2 linked regions of the Drosophila melanogaster genome follow. The protein of the gene in region 1 interacts with the protein of each later gene in a pairwise test. Each region holds a gene or a part of one and is shown on either strand. Other genes may lie near its edges.

Evidence for each region. The genes of interacting proteins can lie anywhere in the genome.
Region 2: the proteins of CG9993 (region 1) and Hex-A interact in a two-hybrid assay, tested with the Drosophila melanogaster proteins (one large-scale study listed by BioGRID).

What each region holds. Positions count from the first base shown.
Region 1 is NT_033778.4:20,847,621-20,855,211, forward strand, and holds CG9993 (uncharacterized protein), read right to left. Parts: upstream 4,506-7,591; 5' UTR 4,429-4,505; coding exon 4,086-4,428; intron 4,028-4,085; coding exon 3,829-4,027; intron 3,767-3,828; coding exon 3,647-3,766; intron 3,589-3,646; coding exon 2,619-3,588; 3' UTR 2,526-2,618; downstream 1-2,525. Other genes in the region: CG17999 (uncharacterized protein), read right to left, coding at 377-1,352, 1,491-1,613, 1,676-1,868, 1,938-2,283.
Region 2 is NC_004354.4:9,583,052-9,590,908, reverse strand, and holds Hex-A (hexokinase A), read right to left. Parts: upstream 5,020-7,857; 5' UTR 4,691-5,019; coding exon 3,065-4,690; 3' UTR 2,508-3,064; downstream 1-2,507.

The DNA.
Region 1 (7,591 bases):
TGAATATCTGACCGAGTCGATGTTTTTACGCCCCGGCAACTGGAGTCGCAGCCGCAGGGGTGCCACAAATAACAAATTGCTTGTCATTGGCATGGCCAATGGGTCCCAGGTCCCAGGACCTACCCCTCCCACAAGGATAGCATCCAAGTCCAAGACCCCTTCCTCGAAAGCCTTTGGACAGGGCTTTTACAATTTGAATCTCGATTAGAATTCATTGAGTTGCCGACATTAGTTAGCCAGCAGCCTGTAAGAAAGCACAGTGGTTTGATGTCGAGAGTTCAGTACTTTGCTTTTAAAAATAATCAATCTAGAAAATGCATCAATTATTAAATGCTTTTAGAGGTAAAACACTCGGAAAAGATGTGGTAACTATTTTTTATTCAGCTTTAAGTTCGAGCTGCTGTACGAGGCCCAGGACCTTTCGCCTCTGCAGTTTATCATTGGGTGTTTTTGGCAGACTGTCGATGAAATACACACCTCCTCGAATGTGGTAGGCTCCGCTCAAGTGGTGTTCCACAATGTTTCGGATGTGATCCGCCGTAAGGCGTTCCCCCTCCGGACTTTTGGTGCGGACCACGGCGCAGGCCGTAAGATTGGTGCTCACCGCGTCGGGTATGCCGAAGACACAGGCCTCACTGACGCCGGGCAATCTGAGGATGAACTCCTCGATCTGCTCGGGATAGATCTGGAAGTTGTTGAACTTGAAGACATCGGTGTCACGGGTCTGGATGTACAGATACCCCTCGCTGTCAAGGTAACCGATGTCTCCCGTGCGAAACCACATGCCGTCGGAGCTGAGGGCTCTTCGAGTGGCCTCCGGGTTTCGGTAGTAGCCTGCCCACTTGAACCGCAAACGGGCGTAGATGATGCCCACTTCATTGATGCCAAGTGGCATCTTCAGTTTGTCCAGCACCCGCAGCTCAACATTCCGCATAACCTTGCCCTCGCAACCCACTGGTCCACCCACGTTTTTGCTCAGTCCGCCCATCTCGGACAGCCCATAGCCCACAACAAATCTCTGGTTACCAATCAACTCGTACATCCTGCGACACACCGCCTTGCACACTTTAGATCCAGCTCCAATCAAAACCCGTATGGATTGGAGCTGGGCCTTCAGTTCCATCACATCACTGTCATGCTTGGATAGCAGGGCAATCTGATGGGAGGCCAGGAACAGAAAGGTCACCTTGTGCCTCGCCACCAGTTGGAGCAGGTACTCCACGCTGTATGGACGATTGGTGATTATGCGACGACAACCATTGAGGAGCGAGGCCAGAAGGATTATGGTTCCCGATATCCAGTAGAGGGGACTGAACGAGAGCAGCACGCTATCTCGGGTGTAGGTGTTCGGACTGTAAGGAGATAGTATTATTCCTCATAATATTAATAATTGAAAATATATAGTAATCGTTCTGATTGCTTAGAAATTGTATCATAAATATATGGAAAAGGTGATATCCAAGAAGATGGCAGGTTAAATGAAAACATACTTCTTGCAGTTACAGAGTAAACTTCGATGGGATCGAGTGACGCCTTTTGGCATTCCCGTGGTTCCCGAGGAGCACACAATGAATGCGGTGTGATCGCCGTGTAGTTTTGGACAAGGAACATACCTAAAATTAGAAAACATCTATTAGAATTGATTTAGTTCATCGCGAAATACACAGAAACTTACGCGGCTGCTGTAATGCTGTCTTCATCATTTAGCATCTCGCTTATGTCCAGCACTCCTTCTAATTTTCCATTGACCAGATAGATCTTGGCGGGATTTTGTAGTTTTCCATTGACCGTCTTTATTATATGGTAGTTTTCTACATCGCAGAAGATAACCTTCGGCTCGGTAATGTCGTACATGTATTTGACAGTCTCTGAAAGGGAATTTAATTTCATCATAATAGTAAGCATACTAAAGTAAGTACAGGAGTTTTGAACCTCACCTTCAGTAAACTCCGGATGCAGTGGATTAATGGGGATGCCACGGAGCAAAGCCGCAATTATCACACTGGTTAAATACGTCGAGTTATTGGCCGATATGCCAACGACATCGCCCCTCCGTAGACCCAATCTCTTGAAGGCCTGTGCTATGCGGGCACTCTGCTGAGCCAACTGAGCACCGGTGAGCTCCTGACCCGTGGTATCACATATTTGCATCACCTGATCTGCGTTAATCTGCAGCACGCGCATGATGACCTCGCCCAGGGTCATTTCTGGACCGTAGAAGTCCTTGCCACGCGGTCCAAACCAAGTCCGCGAAGCGGCATCGTAGTGCACCTCACAGCTCATAGTGTTTTCCAACGTCCGGCGATCGAATAAGTGCTTTATTGCGTCTCATTTGGGTTTTATATGGCTCGGGGAGTACGGAAAACAAAGTGGAGCTGTTAATTAGTAGGACACGGCAAGACATCGATGCTTGTCGCCAGTGTCAACTAAAATAGATGCTGATTTACTCATTGGCAAGTCGGAGCCGCCTCTGTTTTCCGCTAATCAAATCGAGCCGTCCAGCAGACATGGAAACTTTTTAATTTCTTTCACAGTTCTTGTGATGATTCACTGTGTTTACATTTATTAAACACGATTATAAACAACTCATGTATTGTATATTTAGCATAAATCTTATCTCACAAATGTGTGGTTGCCTCGCTCAACTGCGACCAGATCTTCCTGCGCTGCACCTTACTGTTCTGCGTCTTCGGCAGATTGTCCACAAAGAAGACTCCTCCGCGGATGTGGAAGGCATCGCTTAGATGTTGTGCCACAACTCCCTTGACATCCGCCTCGGTCAGCTGGGCACCCAACTCATCCTCATTCCGAACCACTGCACAGGCTGTAAGATTGGTGGACACCTCATCGGGAATTCCGAAGACAGCCACTTCGTGGACTCCGGGCAGATGGAGAATCACGTCCTCGATCTGCTTGGGATAAATGGGGAAGTGATTGTACTTGAAGACATCGGTGTCACGGGACTGAAAGTGCAGGCAGCCCTCATCGTCAAAGTATCCATGATCGCCGGTGAGCAACCACTTGCCGTCGGGCGTGACGGTCACCTGGGTCTCCTGCGGATTGTGATAGTAGCCGCCCCAGCGAAGGTTGAGCCGCACCAGGATCTGGCCCGTCTGGTTGGGGCCCAAGGACTGACCGTGTGGGTCTACCACGCGAACCTGGACATTTCGCAGCAACCTGCCCTCGCTGCCCAGTGGACCTCCCACATTCTTGGAGATTCCTCCGGTCTCTGTGAGACCGTAGAGCACGGCGAATCTGTTCGCACCCAGTAGCTCGTACAACTGCCGCCAGATGCCCATCGGTACCTTCGAGCCACTGCACACGAAGGACTGAACACACTGCATCTTGGCTGCTAGCTCCTGTCTCTCTGGGCTCTTGGCCAGCAGAGCCATGTGGTGGGGCACTGTGAGCACAAAGCTGACCTGGTGTCGTTCCACAAGGTCTGCAAAGTACGCCACGCTGAAAGGACGATTGGTGATGATCCTGCGACATCCATTGACCAGCGAAGCGAGCAGTGTGAAGATACAGCTGATCCAATAGAGCGGACTGAAGCAGAACAGCACTGTATCCGAGGTAAAGAGCTGAGGGCTGTTTAATATCCATTAGGGGTCATATTTTTCAAATGCTCTTGCCACATTCTACTCACATTTTGGCACTGTTCAGCAGACTGCGATGCGAACGGGTTACGCCCTTTGGCAAACCGGTTACACCCGAGGAGGTGATGATGAAGGCCGTATCATCGCCACACAAATGCGGGCAGGCAAAGCTGGAAGATCAGGACTAGCTTGAGGGTTCTTTCTTTGAACTTCTGGTTTCACATCTACATACAGTGTTTTCTCATCGTATCCAGTGCAGCCATCTGCAAGCAAATCCTGAATGTTACGCACTCCAGGCAGAGTTCCAGTGAGCAGAATGATCTCCGTCTTGAACTTGAGACTGCTTTTGACCGCGCTCAAGGTCTGGTAGTTGTCCAGGTCGCAGAATATCACCTTGGGCTTCGTGATCTCGAACATATAGGCCGTGGTTTCTGTGTATAAAGTTGTGCATTTAACGAGTTATATAAATATATATCCGATTTCTTCTACCCGCATCGAAGTCCGGATGCAGTGGGTTGATGGGTGTGCCATTCAGCAGGGCTGCGATGACCACTTCGGTGAGATAGGTGGTGTTCTTGGCCGAAATGCCAACCACATCGCCGCGTTGCAGCTTCAATCGTTGAAAGGCGTGGGCCAATCGACGACTTTGCTCCAGCAACTGACTACCGGTGAGCTCCTCGCCCGTGGGATCATACACCTGCATCACCTTGTCCGAGTACAGACGCAGGATGATCAGTGCCACCTCGCCCAGCGTCATATCCGGACCGTAGTACTCCTTGTCCTTTGGCCCAGACCATATCTTCTCAAAGCTGTCGTACTTGGTGGACGCCATTTGGCTCTCTCTGCGTTCTGGATTCCTTTTGGCCGTTCGATTGGACAAAACACAACTTTCGTACACATCAACTGAGTTTCGGCGAGAGTGGCCTGGCCTATATATACAGTCGGCACTCGGGAGGTGCTAGAACTAGATGTTCGATCTGCTAATTAGTTCGACACGTTCTCCATGCCCACATACACATACCTTCTACCCGCTTCCATGGGCAGCGCTCCTAATGAACTTTGCCGACTGCTGGCGCTGCCAAATTATCAGGTGAGTTTGGGTGCACCTCATGGTTACTGAGATTGGTACCAAAAAGGATGTCATAGGACAGCTATCTAGCTTTAGAAAGTAGGATTCCCAAGTAGTCCTTAGTTACTTCTAAGGATCACTTGAAAATGTGTTTCTTTAAAAGAATTAGATAAGGATCCTTAGTCTTCTATATTCATTCCATTTCACATAGCTTCCAACCACTGTGCCAGTTGGAACTCAGTCCATGGCCGTTGCATGGCAATTGCATAATTTCCACGATTTAACACGGTTTGAGCTCCGTTCACTTTTGCCCATCTCTGCTCCCTGACTGCGCCCGCTCCATTTCCTATATCCTTGCCATATCCTTGCGCTGCGGCTGTCTCCACGTGCCACGATTCCTGGTTCTTGTTGCGTCTGTCCGTCTGGCCAGGTGAATGGATATATACGCATCGCAACCGTACTCGTATTCGTATAACTGCCATGTGCAACCGCAGAGAGATAGAGTCGCATCCTTGATGGGCACACGCTTCATTTGCGTGCTTAGTTAGGAAATCAAGCGTATGGCTGCAGAACAAGTGGGCGGACTGGCGGTGATGGGGCGGCACTTAAAATGCAAGGTGCATCCACCTGAATGGGGTGTGGGTGTTGGCTTAAACTTCGATTCGTGGCCGGGACTAAAAGTTGCCCAGCATCAGCGGGCGGAAGTTCCGGGGCGTTTGGAGATAGTTCGCCGGGCTGAGTGAAAAACTCGGATTTTGCCTGCCGCAGCTGGATTCATTGATTTCACTTAAATTCTTGTGATGCAAGAATAAACTAAATTAATTACACGGTCGGCAGAAATGTGCAACAAACCAGCTTTGGCTGAAGAGGTGCAAAAGTGGTGGCGCGCTCTGATCAGCGACTAAGAAAAGTTTTGCGAAACTTTTTTATGGCCATTTCATGACCCAATCTCGTCTTGGGAGCAAAACAGGGCTATTCTGCTGCTAGCAACTTGGTCCACATTTAACTAACTTCAAATCTCGGCAATTAACTGAAAGTCACCAGCCGGGGAACTGGAGACTTGGCAAATGTAATCAGGCTCAACATTATAATTAACCGCAAAATGCAGTTACGAGTCTATTTTTTTTTTTACCACCCACCCCACTGAACAACCTAGAGACTCCATTCCGCTGGCCGTCTATTAAAACTTTTACGACAAGTAGGCGAAAAAAAATTACCTAATTAAAATGATTGACTAAACAGAAAAGTTTGTGCGAAATCATTTTTGCTTTTTTTCCCCCCTCCGCCATCCGCAACTAGCTGGGCATACTTTTCCGGAACAATAGTTTCTTCCGGTTGTGGTGTGCTCCTCTATATATACGTACGTACGTACGTAAAGCTCGCCATCCCGTTCGCACAGTAGCCCTTGCTCTTTTGCGCTTATTTATTGTTTGCCGTTTGCCTGAAGGCAGTGAGATTTTTTCTGTAGGAAATGTTTGGAGTGGAGGCCTCCCCGCAAAAACCTTAGAGATGCGACAGCAGCTTGTTGTTCATCTAACAAATTAACGAACGCCTCGAGTCTTGTTGCGTGCTATTCCCCTCTCTTTCGCCCAGCATCTGCCCGTCTCTTTCCATTCCCTTTCGACCGGGGCAGAAAACTTTGAAGTGTTAATGAATTGAGCGGGATGGCGAGATGGGTGGGTAAAAAAAAAGGTGGGGGGAGGAGGGGTGCTGTTTTGGCCAGAGTAATGACCGTTGGCCGCTTTTGTGGTCGATTTTCTGGTAATTGAAGTTATGATTTAATTTAATTTACCGCAAAAGTGTTGACAGTTAGATAAGAATCAGGAGGAAAAGTCAAGGAAAAAAACGAAAAGAACACAGCTTGAAAGGAAGTAAGCTTGATATCCTTAAGGGTGGGAACATCATTAAAATCCTTTAAGTCCTTTAAAAAATATGTAACTTTAAGCTAAAAGATACACAAAATCTGAACTTATGCAGAACATCAACAAATGTCATTTGTAATTAAGATTTAAGTTGAATTGTTTAGAATAATTATAACAGCTTTAGATGTAATTTAAGTCTTTAAAAAGTCGTAACTTTAAACTCACAACTCGAACGTCATTAGGCATGTAATTAAATTAATTATCTCAAAGTCCCTCTTAGCTTCGATATATGCAAATTATATTCAAGGTGGTAAGCGGCAGTACAGCTGATTCGAGGACAGCCTGAATAATTCAAATGGAATTATGCAACGTGGCATTTAATAATTCACAAGTGAGAGATGTGTTTTAGGCGTCATTACAAATCGTTACAACACTAATAATCCATCCAAATGACTCATAAACAATTAATTAGAGCGCCTTATAGATGCTCTCGAGTGTTTTTGTCTGCACACACACGTCCGTAGACAAACACACACCCATATGCATAACGAATGTCCTGGAAAACGGAGGTCCTATTTTACTGCACTTTCCAAGTCGCCTGCCTGCATTTGTGTATGTGTGTGTGTGTGTGTGCTGGCCACAAAACCAATTACACACTCGATTCGAAAGCGTTTTCGCTATGGGCCCAAATCGGTGCATGGAGCATGGAACGGTTGGCGGGGGGCGTTGCGGGCCAACACTTAACCCTGAGGAAACTACGCATCTGTTTAATGGAGTCAACTGTGTGAATGGGGATGCCCCAATCCAAACTGCATGAGTCTGGGATGGGTAAGGTGGGTGGTGGGTAAGGACTCGATCCCCAAAGGCACATAAAAAGCATTTAATTTAAGCGTTGTCCTAATGTCTTTTATGGCAATAGAAGAAACTACTGAGCAGCTGCTATTATGTCTTTTAGATGTGCTTTTAAACCCGCTAATTCTTAATTGATACTTCGAATGCCAAATTAAAATCTTAAGTAGTCTAAGTTTCCACTTCTTAGCTGCCATTTATGTTTTATTCTTCTA
Region 2 (7,857 bases), on another chromosome or scaffold:
AAATGTTTCAACAATTTGTTGCAAATGAATATTGTTAAATATATTATATTTGTTGTGTAATCATCTCACTTTCGATCGGGTTAATACCCAAAGGGTAACTCCAAATTGGGATTCCCGATGCGGTCGACGAGTCGAAATCGCTGTCAGCATTTTAAAAGTGGAAATTTGCATTCAAGATATTTAAATTGGGTTTGTGCCGCAGTAAAACGTGATCGCCACTTGGCTGAGATTGCACTGTATCGCCATCTCGTTTCGCCTCTCGCTGTTTCACGAGAATCGTTTTCATTTCAAATTCTATAAACAACTTTCGCGGAACTCGAGCTCTGTGAGGTTTTATAATAGAAAAAATAAGCCCCCTTTTTGCCCCCTTCCAGCGCGAATCGATCGATGACTTTGGTGTTTATCGAACGCTCGCCTAACCGCCTCGCCGCCTCATCAGTCGTACCGCTCAACCCATTCCAGAACCGACCGCCCCCGCCACCAAATCCGTCGCCCCTTTATGCGATCAATGGCTCAATCAAGCCTTTTGTCTGCTGTGGATCGCAGCACTTGTAATTCAAATGCGTCAAACGAAAACCCGACTGCAAATGATTCAATTTAAAATGGACTACAAAAGCGGCGAAAAACTACGTAAGACTCAAGTGCAACGGCTGATTGCGGCACTGGAAATACCCTACAATTTAAGAGGGGATACGCACTATGTGCACTATTTTTAGCTCAAGTAATTCCTAGCAAAATACCCAAATATGTCATAATGCAATACAATACAAGAATATGAATGTTCTACTATATGAACATTATCCAAAAATATATATTATAACAAAAACACACACAGCTGAGCAAATAAATGGGAAATATTTTATGCACCGAATAAAACAAAACATCTGGCGAAATCGAAGTGCCCGCCTTTTGTGTAGGGCATTCAAGTAATATAAATAACAAAATTGAGCTAGCTAAGTGCTGACTGATTGTTATTGCCTCTGATGATATATAATTTTAGTCTGCAGCAACTATAGCAATAAAACGAGAATAAAGTTTTAAATAAATATATTGTACACCGTTATGTTAGGCCCAAAAGAACACGTATCACGTTTTGATTTGCTTCTCTGTTGTTTGGTTCAATCGTCTTTATTTTGCTTCACTGTTGACAAACATTCCATTTGTTTATATCATTTACTAAATTCATCTCATCTGCACTTTCAAGCCTTCGATTTGTGTTTGTTTGTTCTTAGCAATTTATGTTTGAATCGCCTTTTGATAACGAGAGTTTTTAATTGGTTTTCAATTTTCATTTTAACATGGGCTAAGTTTATATTACATTCTTCTTGTTTTTCGTTTTTTTCTTTCTTGAAAAATAGAAACACTGGTTCGCTGCTCCCGCCATTTATTATAACATATCTCTTAGGTTAGGCTCATTCTCCGCTTAGTATTAGACCAAAAAAATGTATCTTCGTTTTGCCTCAATTGCGAATTGTTTAAGTTTTTGTGTTGACTGAGCATGCCGGCCAGCAGCTGCAAAAATGATCAAATGATACCGAATCATATGGAAAACAGATCAAATCATACTGAAATCAATCTGGAAAAAACCTAATCACTTTGGAAAACCAATTAATTTGGGAGAAATAAGTAACAACTACTTGTGTATGAATTAAGAACAAATTTTATTTGCTTTCCATTTTGCTTATTTGCCTTTTAGCTTCTCGCATTCTCTTCGTTTGTTGTTCGTAAACAATAATTAAATATAATTAAGGGCTGCGTGGGTTGGGTTTTTTTTTTGGGGTGGGGGTATTATATTGGTTGTATTGCTGGCTTCTTCGACGACATTTAGAAACTAAGATAAGAACTAAACACTAAACTAGGTCAAATGTACAATTACATAAATAATAGCTCACAAAGTGCGTTTCTATATCAAAAGGAAAAAAAAAAACAGTTTATTTTTGTTTAGAGTTTACCTGCTTAAGTGTTAACAACAAACAAATTCACTAAACAAAGACAAGCAATACATTACAAAAAAAAAAATCAGTAATATAGTGGCTAAATATATCATATTTATATTTATATATATGTATGCAGTATTATCATATAACGCTTCGTAATAGGTTCTATATAAACATTTACAATTACAGAAAGGACACCGTAGCATTACCTAGTAATCCTCTCTCTCTTTCTCTCGCTCGCTCTCTCTCGCTCTCTTCCTTTCTATCCCTCTGTTTCTGTCTCTTCTCTAGCGGCTTGTTTTTTGTTGCTTTTTTCGTTTTCGTTTTTGCTTTAACAATGTGCGGTTTTACAGTTTCTCTTTCCGTTGTCCTGCAGGATATGCTAGAATGCTTGTAGCACAGTAGTATAACAGTTTCTTTTCTCACTTGCTCTTAAGTATCTCCGTTTTTTTAGGGGGGTTTCAGGGGTCTTTTGGGCAGGGAATTACCAAAAAAAATTTGTTGTTTCAATCGAAATCGAAAAGAAATTCGCTTCACAAATTGTACTATATATACGCAAACATATACATTATGTTTTTAGTGTGTGTATATTATGTTTTCTTGTAAAATATATATATATATAATAGCATAACAAATTTTCAACAAAAATCGAAAATCGATCCATAATCATTAAGCATAGTGTTTTTTCTTCTTCTTTGTTTTCTTTTACTAGGAGAGAAAGAGATAGAATGCCACAGATCTTCTGTCTCTTAGTGGGGGGGTTTCTGTTACGCTTGTGTTTGTAGTGAAAAACCTGGTTTTTGCCTAATTAAAATACTAAAGCCAAGTCGCGCCAACTCACAAATGCCCTACGTATGCACATATAAGTTTTTCGTGGGCTTTTCGATTACTTTTCGTCGTGGCAGCTTCATTTTTTCATATCGTTTGGCTATAGGGCTTTTGTGAGTTAGCGTGGCTCTACTGTAATTATTACGCATACGCCACCGTGGCCGTTTACTAGGTATTTCTCATTTGCTCTGCTGTTTTTGTGGTTGTGTGGGTGTGTTGCTGTATCTCTTAGGACTGCTCCAGCTGCTCCAGCGGCTCCTCCTCCTGGTTCCTGATCCAGCTCCAGCTCCCTATCCATCCTACTTCTTGCCATTGAGTATGTCTTCGCGACAGGCGACGGCCGCCACCAGGGCAGCTCCACGACCGGAACCGTCCTCGGACAGCATCAGATCGAAGGTGATGCCCGGCTTGATCAGCTGCGAGATCTTCTCGACCATCAGGTTATGGAACTTGGGATGGAAGCGGTACACACTGCCATCGACGCCCACCGTCACCGTTGGCTCGTCCATTTTGTTGATCAGCGTGGCAATGCCGGCGGACACCAGGTGGGCAGCCCGTTTCGAGACGCACTCGCAGATGTACCGCACATTGGCGCAGTCCCCGTCGGTGGCATTGGTCAGACCGAGCTCCTCCAGCACCAGGCGGCAATTGGTGAAGTTGCCTGGCTCGTCAGCTTCAATTTCGCTCACATACTTGGTGAAGAACAGTCCGCGGGTGTTTAGCACTTCGGAATCCTGTCCATTGAAGAGTATACCCGCCTGGGTCATCTTCACCAGCACCAGACGCACCAGCTCGCCCATATACATGCCCGATATCATCTTCTCGAACGTCTGCTTGCCCGGATTGATGCTGTGCACATCGATGTCCCGATCGAATTCGGTGCGCACAAAGTCCAGTGCGCCATTGTCGCCGAATGCGCCCCATTCCGTGTTGATCAGGACGTGCTTCTTGCGCGGATCCTCGGCGGCGAAGAGCTCCGCCTCCTCCACACGCTCCATATAGCAGGCATTTGCACCGGTGCCGACAATCAGACCGATCTTGCAGTTGTGATTCTTCCAGGCGCAGCTCATCAGCGTGCCAGTGGTGTCATTGAGTATGGCACACACATCGATCTGGACATCGCCGCGCCGTGCGATGGCATCCTTTAGCAACTGGACAACATCCTCGTTGACGACGCCAGCGCAGTTGAAGCCCTTGGTCCAGGTCTCCAGCAGGCCCTTGGTCAGACCCAATTGGCGCAGCGGGAACGAGAAGGTGAAACCGAGTGGCAAACGCTCCTTGTACACATTGTGCTCGGCCATAAAGTTGGACAGACATTCGGCGATGTGATCGAATAGCTGTGTACCCGATCCAATCATAATGTGCTGCGGTATGGCATAGATGCGGGACTCCATTTGAAAATCGTTGTTCTCCTGCAGATGGATGAGCAGCACCCGGAAGTTGGTGCCACCCAGATCCAAGGCCAAGAACTTGCCACGCTCATTGCCATTGGGCAGATCCTGCACATACGTTACGAAGCACTTGACATTCGCCTTGGGATGTGTATCCTTGGCCAGGCCGCGGCGCAGCTCGTGCAGGATGCGGTAGCACAGCTCCTGCACCTGTTCGTCCGTTAGAAGCAGCTGCTGACATAACTCGTGCACCATCTTACTTTTCTCTGCAGCGGATAAGAGTGCAATTTGCTGCGGGCTGTGAGTTGTAAGATTTGTGGTTGTGGCTGTTGCTGTGGTTGCATTTGTGGTCGCTGTCGCTGATTTTGTAGCTGCCGCCGTCGTTGTTGTAATTTTCTCTGTTGCACTCAGTGCCGCCCCCTGTGCCACGCCCACGCGGTCCGTTTCATCTAGCCCGCCACCGTTATTGTGACCATTCAGTTGGGCGCTATTTATGGACACGCTCTTCATCGCCCCGTTCAGCTCCCGATCCATTATTATGTTGGTGTTTTCCTGCTTGTTTTTTTTTTCCTTTTTTCTTTTTTGATTCTCTCTGCCTTTTTTCGGTTCTTTCTTGCTCTGGCTGTTTTTCTTCGATCTTATGCGCTTGCACTCACACGGCAAAAAAAAAACGTTTACAATTTTCGTATTCGATGTGCACACTCGCGTTGGCTTTTCTACTTGGGCATTTGCAGTGCAACCTTTTCGAGTTGGTTTCAATTTTGAGTCTTTGAGTGTCCACACACACGATTCTCGCTCTCGCCGTGTTTTATTTTCGTCCGCTGCACGCGTCCAAACGCTCGGAACGTTTTTTACGAAATTAAATTCACTCGCCGACTGGTGCTCACTTTTCGCTGTCGCTGCTGCTGCGCTGCCGGCGCCGACCGCGACTGCGAGCCGCGCTCACACTCTCACTCTCTCTCTCTCTCGCTCGCCGTGAAGGAACCTTGAAGGTCAAAAACTGAAAATCGGTTTTGGGGCGGCATGGTTGGAGATATGGCGTGTATATGTGCGACGCTGAGGGGTCCACAAATGGCATATTGATAGGGTGCGCGTGAGAGAGGGGGCGAGAGAGTGGCTATGAATGAGAATGAGTCAAACGCGTGTTTATGCGGAAACCCTTATGCGTCGCGTAAGCAATATCGTGATCACGCATTTGATAAACATTTTAATTTGTCATCTCAAATATAGTCAATATATTTCAGGCTTTTCTCTTCAAGGAAAAAAATTATTTTCTTAAGATGTTAATGGTTTAATTAATGTTAATGGTTAATGGTTTTGCATTTCTTTGACAAATTAAATTGGTCGCCTATTATCACTGTGTTAAATTTGTTTTGATATTAATTACGCTATTAACTAACTAATTTACAACATTTTTAAGAAATATCTCGTTCTTATCGTGCCATAAACGCGGAACTACAAGGGCCTGGCGGCGACGCTCTCTCTTTTTGCTTCCGCTTATGAGAGAGCCGCCTTTTGTCGTCGTCAGCAATTTGGCTGATATTGACACCCTACAAACTGTGGGGTGCAATGGAATTTCTGTGGCACAGAAATGTATTATATATTATATAAATATATAAGAAAAAACAGTTTTCTGATTTTGCAAACAAGTTATTAGAAAATATTCAGTATACGTTTATTACTCATACGCCACCTAGGCCCAATAAATTATCTCTTTTGTATTAAGCTCAAGCTAAACATGTAGACTGCCTTTATTATAAATTGTGTAAGGAAGAAGGTCAAAAGTAAGACCACAGGTACAGGTAAGCACCTGTACTATATTTACCATTGTGGGTCGCCAGTTAGTACGCAAAATTTTTTTATTTGATAGAGACACATGTATTTATATCCATTTAATGTCGGTAGCGCATTTAAAAGTAGCCAATAGGATTTTTCGTTGCTGCCTGCGTATTGGCTTCGTTCTTTGAACCCCCTGTTCGGCGCCGGGCCCCACCACCCGCTTTCCCACTCTCAGCGATCTCGCTCTCCCTCGGCATCGGTGTTAGTATAACAATGCCGTTTTAGATGAGAAAGAGCAAGGTTTACCCAGAAAAATGGGAGAGCAAGTTTGCGTAGCTGTTGACAGCTACCTTCCCCTCCCCAACTCCCCTACCATCATCGTCTCACCCGTTTTTACCGCTTCTTGGAATTCTCAAGTTCTAGCGACGCGTCAACATCCTCAAATACATATATCTTTGCATTTGTATGTATTTTTGTTCAGTGTCCGTGGGGCTCGTCTCCCCGCCCTGCCCTCTTTTGTGTGTGTACGTGCCGCCCAGTTTGAAGTTCCGCTCCCTCCTTCTCTCACTCTCTTCCCCTCTACTTCGCTCTTTCTGGCTCTCCATTCAATGGAATTTTGTTGTTTCATATTTTTGCAGCTAGATTTCATGTGCAATTTCCATTCGGTGCTGCGTTTTTGCATTGTTGTTTATGTCTTGTGATCTTTTTTGTTTTCCAGCATTTTTTCCAAAGAGGCTCGTCCGTAATTGCAACAACAACGAGTAGAGCGTTTCCAACTACAAGTGAGAGTGCATGTGAACATACAGGCTTACGAACGTATGTATGTCTGTATATCCATATGTTTGTAGGAATGTATGTGAGAGGGCATGTCTGCAAACGTGTGTGCTGGCATGTGGCCTCATAACTGTTATACAAGACCAGACACCAACAGTCGGGGGCCAGAAACTAGCACCTAGAAGTCAGCTGGCCATCAGTTTTCAAGAGAGCATTAAAAAGAGAAATCAACATGACTTTGAAATAATTGCCGAAAGATAAAACAAGAATTAAAAGATATATTTAATAGAGAATAATAAAAAATGATTAGTTCGCTAAGGCTTCTTCAACTAACCCCGTGTAACCACATTTTTTCACAGCGTTGCTAATTTCTCGGCCCTTGCTGTGCTCCTATTCCATTCACTCACACGCCCCCCGCCGGAAAGTGTTGGTACGAAATAGAAGAGGGCGAGAGTGCGATGACGTCTAGCTTAAAGCAGCTCCAACTACAACTCCCTCCGCCTCACGCTCTCTCCACTCTTCACTCTTCTTCTTTCACTTCCACTCCCACACATGCTGCTGCACGTGTCTTGCGAAATTATTTCGCCACAATAACAAAATCCATTAGTTGTTTACGGCAGTTTGGCGCAATAAAGCTCCAAAAATAAGATCCAAAAATCGCACAGTGCAAAGTGCATTAAAAATTCACAGACTTTTGACGATTTCAAAAAGTTATATTTTTAAAGAAAAGGGGGGAGCTTCTCTTTTTCACCGATGCGGGTGTGGGTGTGTGCTATCATAGGTGTGCTATGCATGTGTGTGGGTGTGTATTCTAGCTGGTGCGACAGAATTGATTAATTGTTTATCTGGCTCGCTTACACGTTCCGTTACTCAGGAACCAACAGACGTCAATAAATAAAAAATTGATACCACCACATGTGCAAATATTCAAAAACGAAGTGGTTAATACTCTTGAAGATCTTAAAGTATCCGTGCACTTCACAAAATTTGATTAGCTTAGGAATTATCATAGGTTATTTTTTTACAATGTTACAACTATTCATTTTTATTCAAATATACATTTTAGAGCCACAAATATTTCTGCATTTGAAGTGATCTACTTATATTAAATCATATAAATAGCTGAATATTTTTTAAAGAGTGTTTAA